Canis lupus familiaris: one gene and its partner. The protein of the gene in region 1 purifies or fractionates together with the protein of each later gene. This does not show direct contact. Links are inferred from orthologs where the notes say so. Each region holds a gene or a part of one and is shown on either strand. Other genes may lie near its edges.

Region 1 (6,783 bases):
CAGTCTGAAGTAGAGGGAAGGGAGTCCGTGTACCTGGCCCACCATTCTCCCGCCTTTATCCATTAGTATCCTGTAGGCCCTATGTCCACAGATTAGTCTGTAGTGTTTTCTGCCCTGATGACACATGGGCTCAGAGCTCTCTGGCATACCTGCCTAAAGTGACACGGCCATGTCGTCCTTGGGCCCTAGACTGCTGATGTTGCCTTGCTTTCTGCCTCTTCCTCCTCTAGAAATCATTTCTCATGTGAATCTGGTGAACGTGAATGGAGTCCCCTGAGGCTGGTGAGTCACCCCTCAGGTAAGGGACAGAAAATTTTTGAACACACAAGATGGAAAGCAGAAAACTATAGTAAAAACAGGAGCTCCCAGCTCCCTTGGTAAGCTACTCACTCTCTACAAATCTTATCTTCCTCATTTATCAAGCAGCTGTATGCATTACCCCAAGACATTTAGGGTGGCTGTGGATTATTTGTGCAAGCAAATGGTAACAAGTCCATATTATGAACAAGTTAATAATTGTTAACTCTTACAGTTACTATTGAAACCTAATCCTTAAACCACAAAGTTATAAGATGGAGTTTTTTCATGAATCTTAGCCTAGAAGTCTTTAATCCTTATTAGAGCCTGGTTAAAGAAGGTCATTATATTCAGGACCTCCCACATATAGGACTGCTACGGAGGCCTTAGCACCACAGGAGGTATAAATGTCAGAGGTCTCAGCTGCTCCATCTGAGCAGCAAGTGAAGTCAGGAGGCTACAGTTGTAAGATATATCAAAACAGAGCAGTCGAATTGGGAGACAGAGTAAGAAATTAGGTAATGAAAAAGCAACTCATTCTTTGTCAATCAAAGATGGTAACATCTCCCTGAAAAACATGGGGAGGCTGTTATGTGGACTTGTGGATGTCAAGGAATGTGTACCTCGTACTTCGTCGTCACTTACCTCTGAGTTGCTGGAGTTCCATATTCAAACTTTCAATGTTGCTCTCATAGAACTCAAGATCCTCAGGGGTCTCAGCCCTTAGAGATTCATCCTGCTTCTCCTCCAGTGTTAAGTTCGGCTCTTCTGGAGCTGGGCTACACATATCCAAGTCTTGTTCCATTTCCTGAATCCTCACCAATACGAGTGGACACTGGGAAGTCTGGTCCAAAGTCTGGTCCAGGTTCTCAGGGCCCTCCTTCTCTGGGGACTCACAGCTCTCATGGGTGAAGAGCCCGGGGGTCAAGAGCCCGGGGGTGACTGCAGTCACCCTGTGCTGTGCCGAGGGAGGCAGGGGAGCTGGGCGAGAGGGTCGCATTGCCAAGGGTGGTTCCGGCTTCAGGTTCTGGTCAAGAAGCACATGGGGGGAGGTGGATGCTGGAGTACTGGGACGCGGTGGTGGGGGCCTGAGGGCTCTTCTCCTCTCAGGCAGCTCCTGTGGGGTGATTGACTTTGAGGAACCTCGGACAATGTCCTTCTCAGAGTTAAAGTTCATGATTGAAAAGTGGCGCAAGATTGCCTCTGGTTCTGCACCGGGTCCTGACAGGCTCTTTTCAAACTCTACCAACTGTTGTGTCAACTTAGAATCCAGGTCAGTGTGGCCTCCTCCCTGCCCCAGTGCTATCAAGTCTGCTGTAAACGCCCTGTCTTGTAGACCGGCCTTCACTTCTGATCTCTCTGATGCAGAACAAAAGCTGGAGGCATTTTCTTTGGGTGTGTGGTACTTTTTAGCACCTCTAACCATGCTCTGGAGCTGAGAGCTCAGCAGGCTAGGTCTGACCACCCTAGGGGCCAAAGGACAAGAGCTACCGTGAGGAGATGGCACGGGCTTCTGAAAGGTTTTTGGTGGAGAGTACATTCCTCTGGGAGGCCGGCTGGAGTAGTCTTTCGCTTTGGCTTCTAAGGGAAGAGGGTCAGAGTACTGCTCTGTGCTTAGGTGGCCCCTTCCTGTTGTAGAATAATACTGGTTTTGCTGCCATCTGGGACGAAAAGGTACCTGAGATTGGGAGGAAACCCCGTTGATTGTCTCTGAAGGATCCTCTGCAGGAGAGTGTCTGGCAAGAGGCTGTTCATGGCCCCAGCCTGGGCTTCTTGGGGGCCCCCGTGAGGTGCCCTCATCCTGATGAGAGCTTTTGTGTACTTCACACTCAGAAGTCAGATGCTCCAGGGGAGAAGCAGATGTTTCAGAAATGACACAGTTGGACTTCTCTGCTTTATATTCAGGAGATTTGTGCCTTCCCTCCACCACTAAGGGGTTCTCTCGACAATCTAAGGAAGTGTCAGGGATTTCAGTAGGGCTGCTTTCCTTTGGCAGGTCCATGGTCTCCTCTGCTCTTGTTTTAGAAAACAGCTTCACAAATCGGTAAGGAAAGATGCCTGTCCTGCCCTTCAGTGATCCTTCTAGCCAGCCATCTTCCAGTGTCCCCAGAATTCGGATTTTATCACCTACCTCAAAATCCAACTCATTCGGCTCCAGGGCCTGGAATCTGTAGAGGGCAATTCCATAGGTCCCCGGCTGCTCCTCATCCTCCTCTGGCCCCCTCTCCTCTTCTCCTGTAGGGGTCTCTTCTTCACCATTAATAATGCAGTCATTGTGATTTCCAGAACTTACCAACTCATCCACAGTTCTAAGGGGCCCCAAAAGCTCTACAAACCCTTCTGGAAAAATGCCTCTTCGGCCCTCTAATTCCCCTTCAAACCAGCCTGGTTCAGGAACTCCAATGATGGTAATCACATCCCCTTCTCTGAAGTCCAGCTCCTCATCCAACTGGGCTGAAAGCCCCATCAGTGCCCGGGCTTGTCCCATTGAGTATTCTGGAATTTGGAGCAGGGCGCTCTGGGAGTGCCACCGCCGGCTCTGCGAGGAGAGGCAGAGCTCCCGCACACATGAGGATGGGAAGAAGCCGCGGGCACCCCAGCAGCTTCGGCCCTGCAGCCAGCTGGCAGTGGGAGCATCATCAAGAATCACCAGATCACCTGAAGAAAGAGAAGCAAAGATAATGACCTAAGTCATCTCCCGAGAAGAACATTACTGTAACTAAGAAAACAACTCATCATTTTTTTTTAAATTTTTATTTATTTATGATAGTCACACAGAGAGAGAGAGAGAGAGAGAGGCAGAGACATAGGCAGAGGGAGAAGCAGGCTCCATGCACTGGAGCCTGACGTGGGATTTGATCCTGAGTCTCCAGGATCGCGCCCTGGGCCAAAGGCAGGCGCTAAACCGCTGCGCCACCCAGGGATCCCAAAACAACTCATCATTTTAAACATCTATCAGATTCAGGAAAATGTACCTCTGGAGTTTTAAGGGCATAATACTTATCCTTTCAGAGAGTCTGGAAAGTCAAAACTATCATATTTTCTTCATACATTTTACATATACTTCAGTTAAAACAACAATATATCATAGCAGATTGAATATAAATACAAATATGAGAATCTAGCTCTCTTCTATTAAACCAAATTTGCAAAAATGTAAACCAATGATACTCTTCTCACTATATTTTGTTAGAAAACTGATTGTTTTTCATTAAAAATATGCTATTTATGTTAGTATATAATAGGTTTTAGGGGTGCCTGGGTGGCTCAGTGGCTGAGCATCTGCTTTTAGCTCAGGGCATGGTCCTGGGTTCCTGCGATGGAGTCCCGCATCAGGCTCCCTGTGGGGAGCTTCCTTCTCCCTCTGCCTATGTCTCTGCCTCTCTCTCTCTCTGTGTCTCTCATGAATAAATACACTCTTAAAAAATAGGTTTTAAAAAATGAATTGATAAATGTTTTAAAAATTTCTGTTTTAATAGCTCACATTGCAAATATCAACAGACCCACATAAGCAAGAGCTCTTTAGTGCCTCAATAACTTTTAAGAGTATAAAAGGCTCCTAGGACCAAGAAGTTTGAAAAATGCCACTATAAACAATGTTCTTACAGTCTATGCCATTGGATTAGTTTATAAATGATAAAGAATATACACGTGTCCACTAAAATCCTTTGTACAGATGCATCGGCTCTCTCATACTAACTGCTATCAGTAGCAAATATGAAACAATGAAAGAAATCTTCAGGAATGGTTTCTTTGATGGCAGTACAGGGTGTGGGCAACAAGCTCTTCATTTACTTCTTCCAGAAGCCGTTTTGAACTATCCTTACCCTGACGATACATCATAATGAAATCCTAAAAGCATGTTCTGGCAATCAGTACTTTTGTTTTTGAAAATAGTTCCAATGTCGATGTTTCAGGTTAACTTCACAAAAATGTAAGTTGACCAGTTAGTATCTATATTACTGTTGAATGAAGTAAGGTAAAGGAAGGATAGGGCACAGTGATTCTGGAAGAAAATGAAGTTAAAACTCAGTTTTAGAGGATTCCCCCCAACTTAAGGAACTACTCTATAGTTCTGTAATAAATTGTTTTATAACAAACGCTTAATTATCTGATGATGGATTGTTCATTTTGTGAATTATCAGTTTTAACCTTTTTTAAACTTCCTCAACACCTAGTCAACTTCACTTTCATCAGCAGAGGTGATCAAGGAATGGAATCAGCCCAAGGAAAATAAGACCAGGACAGCAGAGCACCTAATAAAGCCATGTAAGTCCTTTTATAGTCAAGCATATTTTGAAATTGGATTATCGTTTAGGGTATTAACTTGCATGCTCTTGATGTATAAACAAATCAAGTCTGTCCTATCTTCCCACCAAGTGAATCACATATTACTTAATGGCAGGTACCACTTATCTCGTGTATTTCCTGACTTGGATACAATGCCTTTCACATAGCAAGTGTTCCATGTCCATTTGATAACGACAATGATTCTCCAACTCCAAGTCCCAAATAAATTAATCACATCTTCCCTCCAAAACTGGCTCCAGGCTGCTAGCTTCCTCTTTCCCTTTAATATTTTCTTATATGCCTTAAAAAAAAAGATTTTATCTATTTGAGAATGAGCAAGGGAGAGAGAGAGAGCACACACGAGCACAAGCAGGGCAGAGAGGGGTGCAGAGGGAGAGGGAGAAGAAGAACCCCTTGCTGAGCAGGAGGCCCAAATTGGGGCTCATCCCAGGACTCAAAGATCATGATTTGTGCCCAAGGCAGACACTTAACTGACTGAGCCACCCGTTTCCTCTCCCTTTAATATCTTCTTGCAGAAATTGTTTCCACTCATTACTTGCTCTTGCTACCACGTAGTCCAACAATCATCATCTCACTCTCTTTTCTTTTCTTTTTTTAAAGATTTTATTTACTTATTCACGAGAGACACAGAGAGAGGCAGAGACACAGGCAGAGGGAGAAGCAGGATCCCTGTGGGGAGCCTGATGCAGAACTTGATCCCAGGACCCCGGGATCATGCCCTGAGCCAAAGGTAGATGCTCAACCACTGAGCCACCCAGGTGCCCCATCATCTCACTCTCTTACCTTGTCCCAGACTTTGTCTCTTCCAGTCTCTTCCAAATGATTTATGCCAAACTAAGCTGATCAATGTACCAAGCTTATCACATCCCTCTCCTGCTCAAACTTGTCCCACAAGGCATGAAAGCTTCTTCCTACTCTTATAGGATTCTTCTCTAAAAATCCTATTCTTATTATCTGAAATATATGTTTGCTCCAGACACTCTCTAAAGAGATTTAGTTAGTTTAGTAACTAAGTATCAGTCTAACCTGGGTATGTTTTTTTTTAATGTTTTTACCTCAGTGCAACCTGGCATCCACTACCTCTCACCCCCACCCCAGCCAGCCAATATTTCACCTATGAGACCCTATTCCACACAAGGGCATTTTCATTAGCTCCTACATAAGCCCGTCCATCTGAAACCCTAGCATACCTCTCCAAGACACCTTGGAAATCCACATTCATCTTGGTCATCTGTAGCCTACTAAAGAAATGATCGTTTACGTCATTAATTTTGGCACTTGTATTTTTATATACTATACAGCACATAATGTAAGCTTTTGCACTTGGTGGAAGGCAACCAATATGTTCTCACTGATTTGATATGTTTTGCTTAGATATTCTTGAAAAATAGGGTCTTGATTCTCTGTTTCTATATTCCTTTAGTTTATGACTCAATAGCGATTGGTTAGAGCTTGGAGTCCTGAGAATTATACAAGTGATTTTTCAACCCACTAACTCTAAGGCTATTCCATCAGAACCAGAGACAGAACTCATTGGAGACACAATAGGCACGATAGGCCTTTTGGTGAAGAAGAAGAATAAAAGGTGGCCACAAGTTCCACTTCACTGGCTTTTAAATGAACTGGCTTTCCTAAAGCTATAGGGTTATAATATTTTCCTTGCTTTGCCAGATCTCCAGAAAACCATCATACTAGGGCTTGCTTTTCCTATTTTCAGCTGGGCGATTGTTTTGATAAGCTTTATTACCTGGCAGACTGTTGGCTACTTCTATATAAAAACGTGAATTTAAAAAAAAAATCAGTTTAGATCCTGAAAAGCACCTGAGAGAGAATTTTGCTTAACACTTTTATTTTGTCGCTGAGTACCGAGGTTTTTTTTGGGGGTTTTTTTGTTTGTTTGTTTTTAAGATTTATTTATTTATTCAGAGAGAGAGGGAGAGAGAGGCAGAGACACAGGCAGAGGGAGAAGCAGGCTCCATTCAGGAAGCCTGACGCGGAACTCGATCCCAGGTCTCCAGGATCACGCCCTAGGCTGCAGGCGGCGCTAAATCGCTGCGCCACCGGGGTTGCCCTAGCACTGAGGTTTTTGCACAAATCTCTCATTTTTATCAGAAAGAGTCATGCAGCTATTCCTTTGGCATCCTAGATTCCTGAGGGATGGAGGCTACGTAGTGG
Region 2 (7,358 bases), on another chromosome or scaffold:
GCGTGAAGTGAGGCCCAGAAAGGTGAGGTCATTCTGCCGACGTGTGACAGGGACAACGACACTCCCACAGGCGCCTGTGGACTCTCCCCATTCAGGCTGGCCCGGGTACTACCAACCACACAGGCAAAGTAACTTTAGTTTTGCACCCAAAGGTAAAACAATGGAAACAGCTGTCATTTGCAAGCAGCTTTAACACCTAAGATCCCTGAAGGCACAAACCAGCCCAAGTGGCAGACCATGTGCCTACCCCTCAGTCTGGCAGGGACACGAGCTGCCAATAGTCATCTGACAAGATCTGTCCAGCACCCACCATGTGCCAGGCAGCAGCCTGGTGTGGCCATGTCTCCTGGAGGGACACATCACCAAAGAGCCAATGGAAATGGAGCTGGAGACGGGAGAGACCCATGGGCAGCTGGGCTCCTCTGTGAGTTGGCAAGTACTGTTCCCTGAGAAAATTGAAGTAAAGCTGAAAATCGCAGGCAAAAGTCCTCAGCTTGCCCAGAACCAGGTCCGGAAGACTTGGAATAGCGCCACTGCAGCCTTCCCTCTGCTCAGAGCCCTCCCACCCCACCCTAGCCCAGCACCTGCTAACCTCAACTCTCCTGCTATACTGGCCTGCAGGCACATGCCCACCTCAGGGCCTTTGCACTTGCTCTTCCCACAGCCTGAAATGCTCTCCCCTCCCCCCACACCTCAACAAATCTTCACTGGTGGCTCCTCCCTTACCTCCTTAAGCCTCTGCTCAAATGTCACTTTCCCAAGGAGTGCCCTCAACTGTCTCCCTATTTAAGACCCTAACTTCCCCTTGCCCTGCTCTTCTTTTCCTAAGTTATCATTTTTCCAACCTGTTTCTTCCTTATCTACCAGCCCTTGCTGGAAGGCTGCCTCCCCCCAGGGCAGGGGTTTTGGTATCTTACTTAGGGCTGTGTCCACAACAGCCCCATAATAGGGCCAGGCACAGAGTACACGTGCTCAGAAGACATTCTGCAATGAACAAATGAAAACTACAGAGCGTTTTAAGCACTTTGCTAGACACTCTCCCAGACATGTAGTCCTCACTCCATCATCAACAGCAGGCATCAGGTGACTTTATCTGCCCTAAGAGCTGAAACACACACGTCCTACCACCTCAAAGGGGCCCGAGTAGATCCAGTTAACAGCCCCATTCCCTAGTTGGGGCTACTGAGGCTCAGAGGAGGAATGTCTCACAGGATCAAGCCCAGCCCTATGGGATTCTGGGCTGGAAGCCTAAACTTCAGCTTCCTCCTCTGCTTCTCCTAATGAAAAATTTCCCCAGCTCCTCCCTCCATTTGGCTGCTGAGGCTAAAAGACCAGAGTCACTGGAGAGCCACATCTTTCCCCCTCCTCCTTAGAGCCACATGCTGGTACCGAGTGGACAAGCCAAGGGTTTTAAATTCAGGTTTCCAGGGCCAAGAGTCTCCAAGCAAATGTAAACTGAGGCTGGGAGAGTACTAGGGAGTAGTGAGGAGTGTGGCAGCTCACGTGGCCACTCCTCGTCTGACCTGGAAGCCAGTGGCTGCTGCTTCTGAGATCCAAAGACTTGGTGCCAACCAAGACTTGGGCCCAGGGAGGCCAGAATATGATTATAACGACAATTATAAATTGTCGGAGGGGATTAAAAAAAATGGCCATGGGGATAGAGTCAATGCACTCGACGCCCATTAACTCAAGCAGTCCCCCTGGGGAGGGTCTAGCTATTACCCCATTTTATAGAAAAGGAACCTGAGTCCACCTAGCCAAAGTCACACAACCAAACATGCTGGAGCCAGACCGAAGGCCTGGAGCCCACGTATTACAGCACTAAATTCTAGAAAGACCTGTGAGTGTCTGCTAAGCACTGCCAAAATCTGAATTTTGATGTGAAACTTAACTACTGGCAGTTAATTAAAAACAAAAGATTTTATAAATGCTGTGCAGGTGAAACAAAAGACCAGCAAGCAGGCCTCGGCACCCCAGGGCTGCCAATCTGCCACCACTGGTATAGGCTGAGCTAACTGGGCCATCCTCACTTGGACCACATTCTTAGAAAACCAACAAGAAAGAGGCAATGAAGCAGAGCAGCCCGTGCTGAGCCCCAGGCACAGGCCCTCGACATGCGCTCTCATTTGTCCCTTGAAACTAGCCAAGATGTCCACTGTAAAGGTCCAGAGTGCAAAGAAGCAAACAGGTCCTCATTCAAAATGAGGCCCGCCTGCCACCCCCTACGGCAGGGCTTGGTAGCTAAGAGACCTTACCCACACTCCAGAAATAAAAAGAAGATAGCTCTGTTTGAGCAACCCATACCCGAGAAGCCTTTTTTTACAAGTCTGGTTCTCAGGCCCTGAACTAATGCTCTTAACGACCAAGGTCACATTGCAGGCTTTCTGGGAGGAGGTTGCCACAGGAGCCAGCTCAGTAGATGACTGCGTGGGTGGGTGGGTAAGAGAGAAAGGCGAGCGCCAGACAGACTGAGGACAGGGGAAAGAAACCCCAGCCCCCCACCACCTAGAGCCCTGAATTCCTCACCGAATGGCCTTGAGCAAGAGTGCTCAGTTGAGCCTCGGTTTTCTGCTCTGTAAAATGGGGTCAAAGCAGAGTCCGCCTCATAAGACTTAAATACAGTCCAGCATGTAACTCAAAAGCACTTTCATCCTGATTAGTTTTTGCTGCTGACATGAGAACAGCATGGTGAATAACAGCCCGTCCATGTCAACCTACTGTGTGCCACACACTGTGTTAAGTAAGCACTTCCAACATATCAGGTCCCTGCACCATGGCAACAGTCTTGTCGCCATGATGAAGGGGAAACTGAAGTTTAGAGAGGCCAAACTACCTGTGCAAGGTCACAAGGCAAATGAAATGGACAGAACTTTGCTGTGTGCCCACTGAAAGCCTGGGCAGGCAAGAAGATAACCATGCAAACGGGACCCACAGCCCAGCCCAAGGCTCAGGCCAGGCGCAGCTGACCCCAAGTCCACACCTTTCCGCCACACTGGACAACAGGCAAGGCGCCAGAGACAAAGCAGCAAAGGAGGAAATTCGTGCCGCTGAGAGCAAAACTTCAGGCCTCTGGGAAGGCAAGGCGGGGCTGGGCACCCAGCTGGGTTCCACTAAGTGCTAGCCTGGTGCTCTTGGGCCAAGGATGAGTCTTTTCTGAGCTTCCCTGCTTGTATGTAAGGTGGGGTTAACAGAACCTCCACCTCACTCTGTGGGGTTTAAGATGCTGACAAAAGAACTCAGCCTGGGGCCTGCCAGATGAACATTACCCCTCAACACCAATAACAGCCACAGTAATAATAACGATGACTGTGATGTTATCACTTGGCAGCCACAGGCACAAATGGAGTCTGTCCCAGAATGGAGAAGTGACAGCCCATCTGGGAGGCAGAAGGGCAGACTGGGGGGAAGGGAGAGGAAAGAACCAAACACCCCTGGAAGCCACACATTTTCATTCATCAGCTTCCTGAATCCTGGAAACCACCCAATGAGTGGAGTTTGCCCACCGGACAGATGGGCAAACTGAGGCTTCTCAGAGCTACCCAAAAGCCTGATCAGGCTCCAACAGACAGCCGCCAATTTGCAGGTTTTCGCTTGGGAGCTGGCCCCTGTGTTCTGGGGCCCCAGAACACTCTAAGGGTCAGGAAAGAATCCAGCAGAAAGTTCCTCCCAGGATCCTATTTCCAACTGATACAGAAATTCAAGTTTCATCCCTCAGCTCCCTTGTCCACTGCATGCTCCCCCTACCCACTACTGCAGGGGTAGGGCCAGACAGCCAGGGACTGCCAGCGCACTGAAGGGCAGGCAGTGACAAGGCTCGACACCTCTACAGACAGAAGAAAGGATCAATTTGGGCCAGAAGTCAGTATTTGCAAGGGACCAAGCTTTAGAGTCAGCCTAAGAGAACCAGACAACAGAGACCCTAGGGTCCAGCCAGCCAGCCAGACTGCAGAAGCCAGCCAGCGTAACCCAACAGAGGTACGGCTAAGTGTGAAAGTCTGCGAGGCGGCCAGACAGCACAGGTCGCCCTAGACAGCTAGCCAGGCGGCGGGGGGCTGCCCGGAGGGACTGGACAGATGGACAGCCAAATGGTGGCGGCAAGGAGTTCCATCCAGGACAGAGCGACGGCCAACCAGACGGCAGGGGCTGCTCCAGAGAAGTGAACAGCCAGCCAGACCACAGGGGTCGAACCAATAGGTATCTGGCTGGCAGGGTTCGGACAGACAGGGAAGAGGGACTTGACCCTGACCCCCCGATGGTAGAGCTCGGCCGTGGAAAGCTGGGCACAGAGGAGTCGGCGACGGTCCACCGCACTTCCTGGCCCACGCCCCCCGGCCGGTGAGACGCCCCGAGGGCCCGAGCCGGCTCCCCAGCCCGGCAGGAAGCCCTCCGCCCGGGGCGTCCCACAGAGCCCGCCTCCCCGTCCCCGTCCCCGTCGCGGGCACGCAAGCGCCGCAGTTACGCCGGCTGCGCAGGGCGCGCCATTCCCGGTCCGCCCTCCGCGCCCTAGGCCGCCGCCCGCCCGCCGTCGCCGCCGCGCTCGCTCACCGGCCTACGAAGTTCTCGAGCACCGAGCTCTTGCCGGCGCTCTGGCCGCCCACCACGGCGATCTGCGGCAGGTCCAGGTGGCAGCTCTGGCCGATGGAGCTGAAAGCGTCCTGCAGCTTGTTGACCAGCGGGATCAGCTCTTCCATCCCGCGGTTGCCCATGGCGCCGGCGGCCCCGGCCCGAGCGCCCCGCGCTCCCCGCCTGCCCCCGGCCCTTAACGACGCGGCCCCGCGGCGTCCGCGGCCGTTGCTCCCCGCCCGCCCGGGCCTCGGCGCGACGCCCGCTCCCGGCTCGGCCTCACAGTCGCCGCCTCATCCGGTTCTCAGACGACACCCGACCCGAGCGACCTCCCGCCCGGGCCCCGGGGCTGCGCCCAAAGCCCTCATGCCGCCCCCGATTGGCCGGCCCCGCTGCCACTCGTACCCAGGAGCCAATGAAAGAGAGGCATAGGTCTCCGGTTGAGTAGACCTTCCCCCTGGGGACCTCCCGGCGGGCGCATTGGACGCCAGAACTGTCGTTTCTGCGCAAGAGCCAATAGCGTGGGGCAGCGAGTTGTCAAGGCCAGGAGGCGGTGTTTCGGGAAAAGGCACTGTTGGCCCCGCCCATCTTGGGGAGGTCCCTGACGGCAAGAAAACCTAAGTCTCATTGGCAGGAAGACGGGCCAGTCAACAGTGCGGGCCAATGACGTTAGGGATCGATTCATAGACTCTGGTTTGTCACTTGATACTACCTAGTTCCCTAAGAATTTCCCATTGGCTTATATAAATATCACTCCGTTCCTCCAACCAACAAAGCCAAAGAGGACGGGCGTTGACCTCCGAATCCTGACTTTGATTGAGAACTTAGCTGTCAATCAAAGAATCTCCCGTTCTTGTGATTGTTGTAGGTCTATTAGAGTCTTCTGGAGTAAAGAAGGGCCACGGTACTCAAAGAAGGGCGACACCTCGTGGTGGGACCTGGTAATGATAATCGCTTCTGCGTTTCCGGCCTCTAGAGAAAACTACAAGTCCCAGAACGCATCTCGGCCCCGGGCTTGCAAACCAACTCTTCGCGCGGGGTTGCAATACACTTTGAAGATTAATCGGGCGTTAGTGGTTCCTAGGGAGAGGCGGGCTGGCGCTGCATCCTTGTCTCTCCCTTTTATTCCTATAAAGTCCCACCTTCATGCTTTTACAAATTTTGTGCCCTTTCCTAGGAACACCCTCCGCTCACGCCACGACTTGACTCGGCTAACAGCTGCAACGTTGTTCCCCTACCTCTTCAACTTGAGCGCATCGTGACCTCTTGGAGCACCCAATGAAACTCAACGGATCCTCTCCCCTTGAAAAGATACTATTTTGCAGTGTTGGAACTAGGAATCTTGACCTCGTGGGAAAAAAGCCTGAGATAGGTGGAAGGATTTTATGAGAAGTGATTTGATCCCCTGGGCGTGGATTGGCCAGAGAAGCAGCCCAATAAGGAGTCAGATGCCATGGAGGTAGGGAAGTGGGCCGTATGGGGCAGTATGGGGCAGTATCGGAGGAATAGAGAAATAGTGGGGAGGAGGACGGCAGAGTGGCCCATGGTATATGCCTGCTCCAAGACCTAAAACCCCGATTGCAGAGAGATGGGCAAAAAAGTCAACCGAGACAAGGCGTGGCATTGCAGCCTTCACCACGGCAACCTGGAAACACCCTAGAAGCTCCTTCTCTGAGCTGGTTAAATAAATACTGTGCAAGAACTGTAAGAAACACAGGAAGTCTTCATGTTCCGACATGTTAACAATTTGAAATATACTGAGAGAAAAAAAAAGATACAGAACCACTCGTAAAGGAGGCCCACATTCATGAAAAATATATACACATGGAAAACCTCTGAGAGAATACACACATTGATGAAAGTAGTTGCATTTTTATGCTATTGGAATAGTGGATCCTACTTTTGGATTACTTTCTCAATATAAAAACCCTTATCTTCTCAGAGCAGCAGCTCTGTAATTGGCCATATCTAGGTTAAGTCATGCGCCTATTTGCTCATGTCATTCCTCTAAACCTGTCTCCTTATCTGTAAAATGGGGAATGCAGCTACACGTGCATCATAGGGTGGCAAGAACTAAACACAGACAACAGCCATTTAGAACAGTACCAGGCACAGTGTAAGCACCGGCTGGATCACACCTACCGTCCTCACCATGTTTACTGACAGCAAAATTGTGCCACAAGTCAAGAGTCAAGGCTAAGAGCATGAGCACTGGAGCCAGGCTACTACTTCTCAGTGGTGACCCTGGGGAAGCTATTTCCCTCTATGCCTGTTTCCTCACTTTTGAAAAGTGGGGGAACAAGAGGTGCCCCTCTCAGGACAGCTGGAGGCCTTGAGCCAGAGGAAAAAGGATGCAGCTCCCACACTGTGGCGCATCCTCTATGCTGGGCTGAGCCAGGTAGTTTCCAGATATCAGCTGCTGCTGTGGTTACTTATTATTATCAACAAGGGGAGGGAACACTGGCCACAGAGACACTCAGAGGAAGAAGAGGACTGAGACAGGCCACCTTCCCAAGAAGGCACAGATAGTCTAAGTTAGAATAATAATTTTTTAAAAATCCTTCCAATACCTCCTGTTCCCTCCCTCCCCCAAGCCAGATCAACGCAGTGTGATTCCCACAGAGGCCAGGGCTTCAGTGGCCCAGGTGGGACAGAGGGTGGGGTCCCCATACATGGTGCCCATGAAGTCCCGCACGAAGTCAGGGAAGCGCTTCTCCACAATGCTGGCACGCACAGCACTCATCAGCTGCAGCTGCAGGGGGTAGGCGTCAGCCAAGGTCTCAGCCAAGGGGCCC

Evidence for each region. Proteins that work in one complex are often made in the same cells at the same time.
Region 2: the proteins of DNMBP (region 1) and DNM2 purify together in Homo sapiens (co-immunoprecipitation; 3 studies listed by BioGRID and IntAct, with this or other methods). This does not show direct contact. The link is inferred for Canis lupus familiaris from reciprocal best matches to the Homo sapiens genes DNMBP and DNM2.

The regions. Positions count from the first base shown.
Region 1 is NC_049249.1:12,996,658-13,003,440, forward strand, and holds part of DNMBP (dynamin-binding protein), read right to left. Parts: intron 2,956-6,783; coding exon 943-2,955; intron 1-942. UniProt on the Homo sapiens protein: Plays a critical role as a guanine nucleotide exchange factor (GEF) for CDC42 in several intracellular processes associated with the actin and microtubule cytoskeleton.
Region 2 is NC_049241.1:50,881,923-50,889,280, forward strand, and holds the start of DNM2 (dynamin-2), read right to left. Parts: upstream 4,849-7,358; 5' UTR 4,707-4,848; coding exon 4,546-4,706; intron 1-4,545. Other genes in the region: QTRT1 (queuine tRNA-ribosyltransferase catalytic subunit 1), read right to left, coding at 7,163-7,315. UniProt on the Homo sapiens protein: Catalyzes the hydrolysis of GTP and utilizes this energy to mediate vesicle scission at plasma membrane during endocytosis and filament remodeling at many actin structures during organization of the actin cytoskeleton.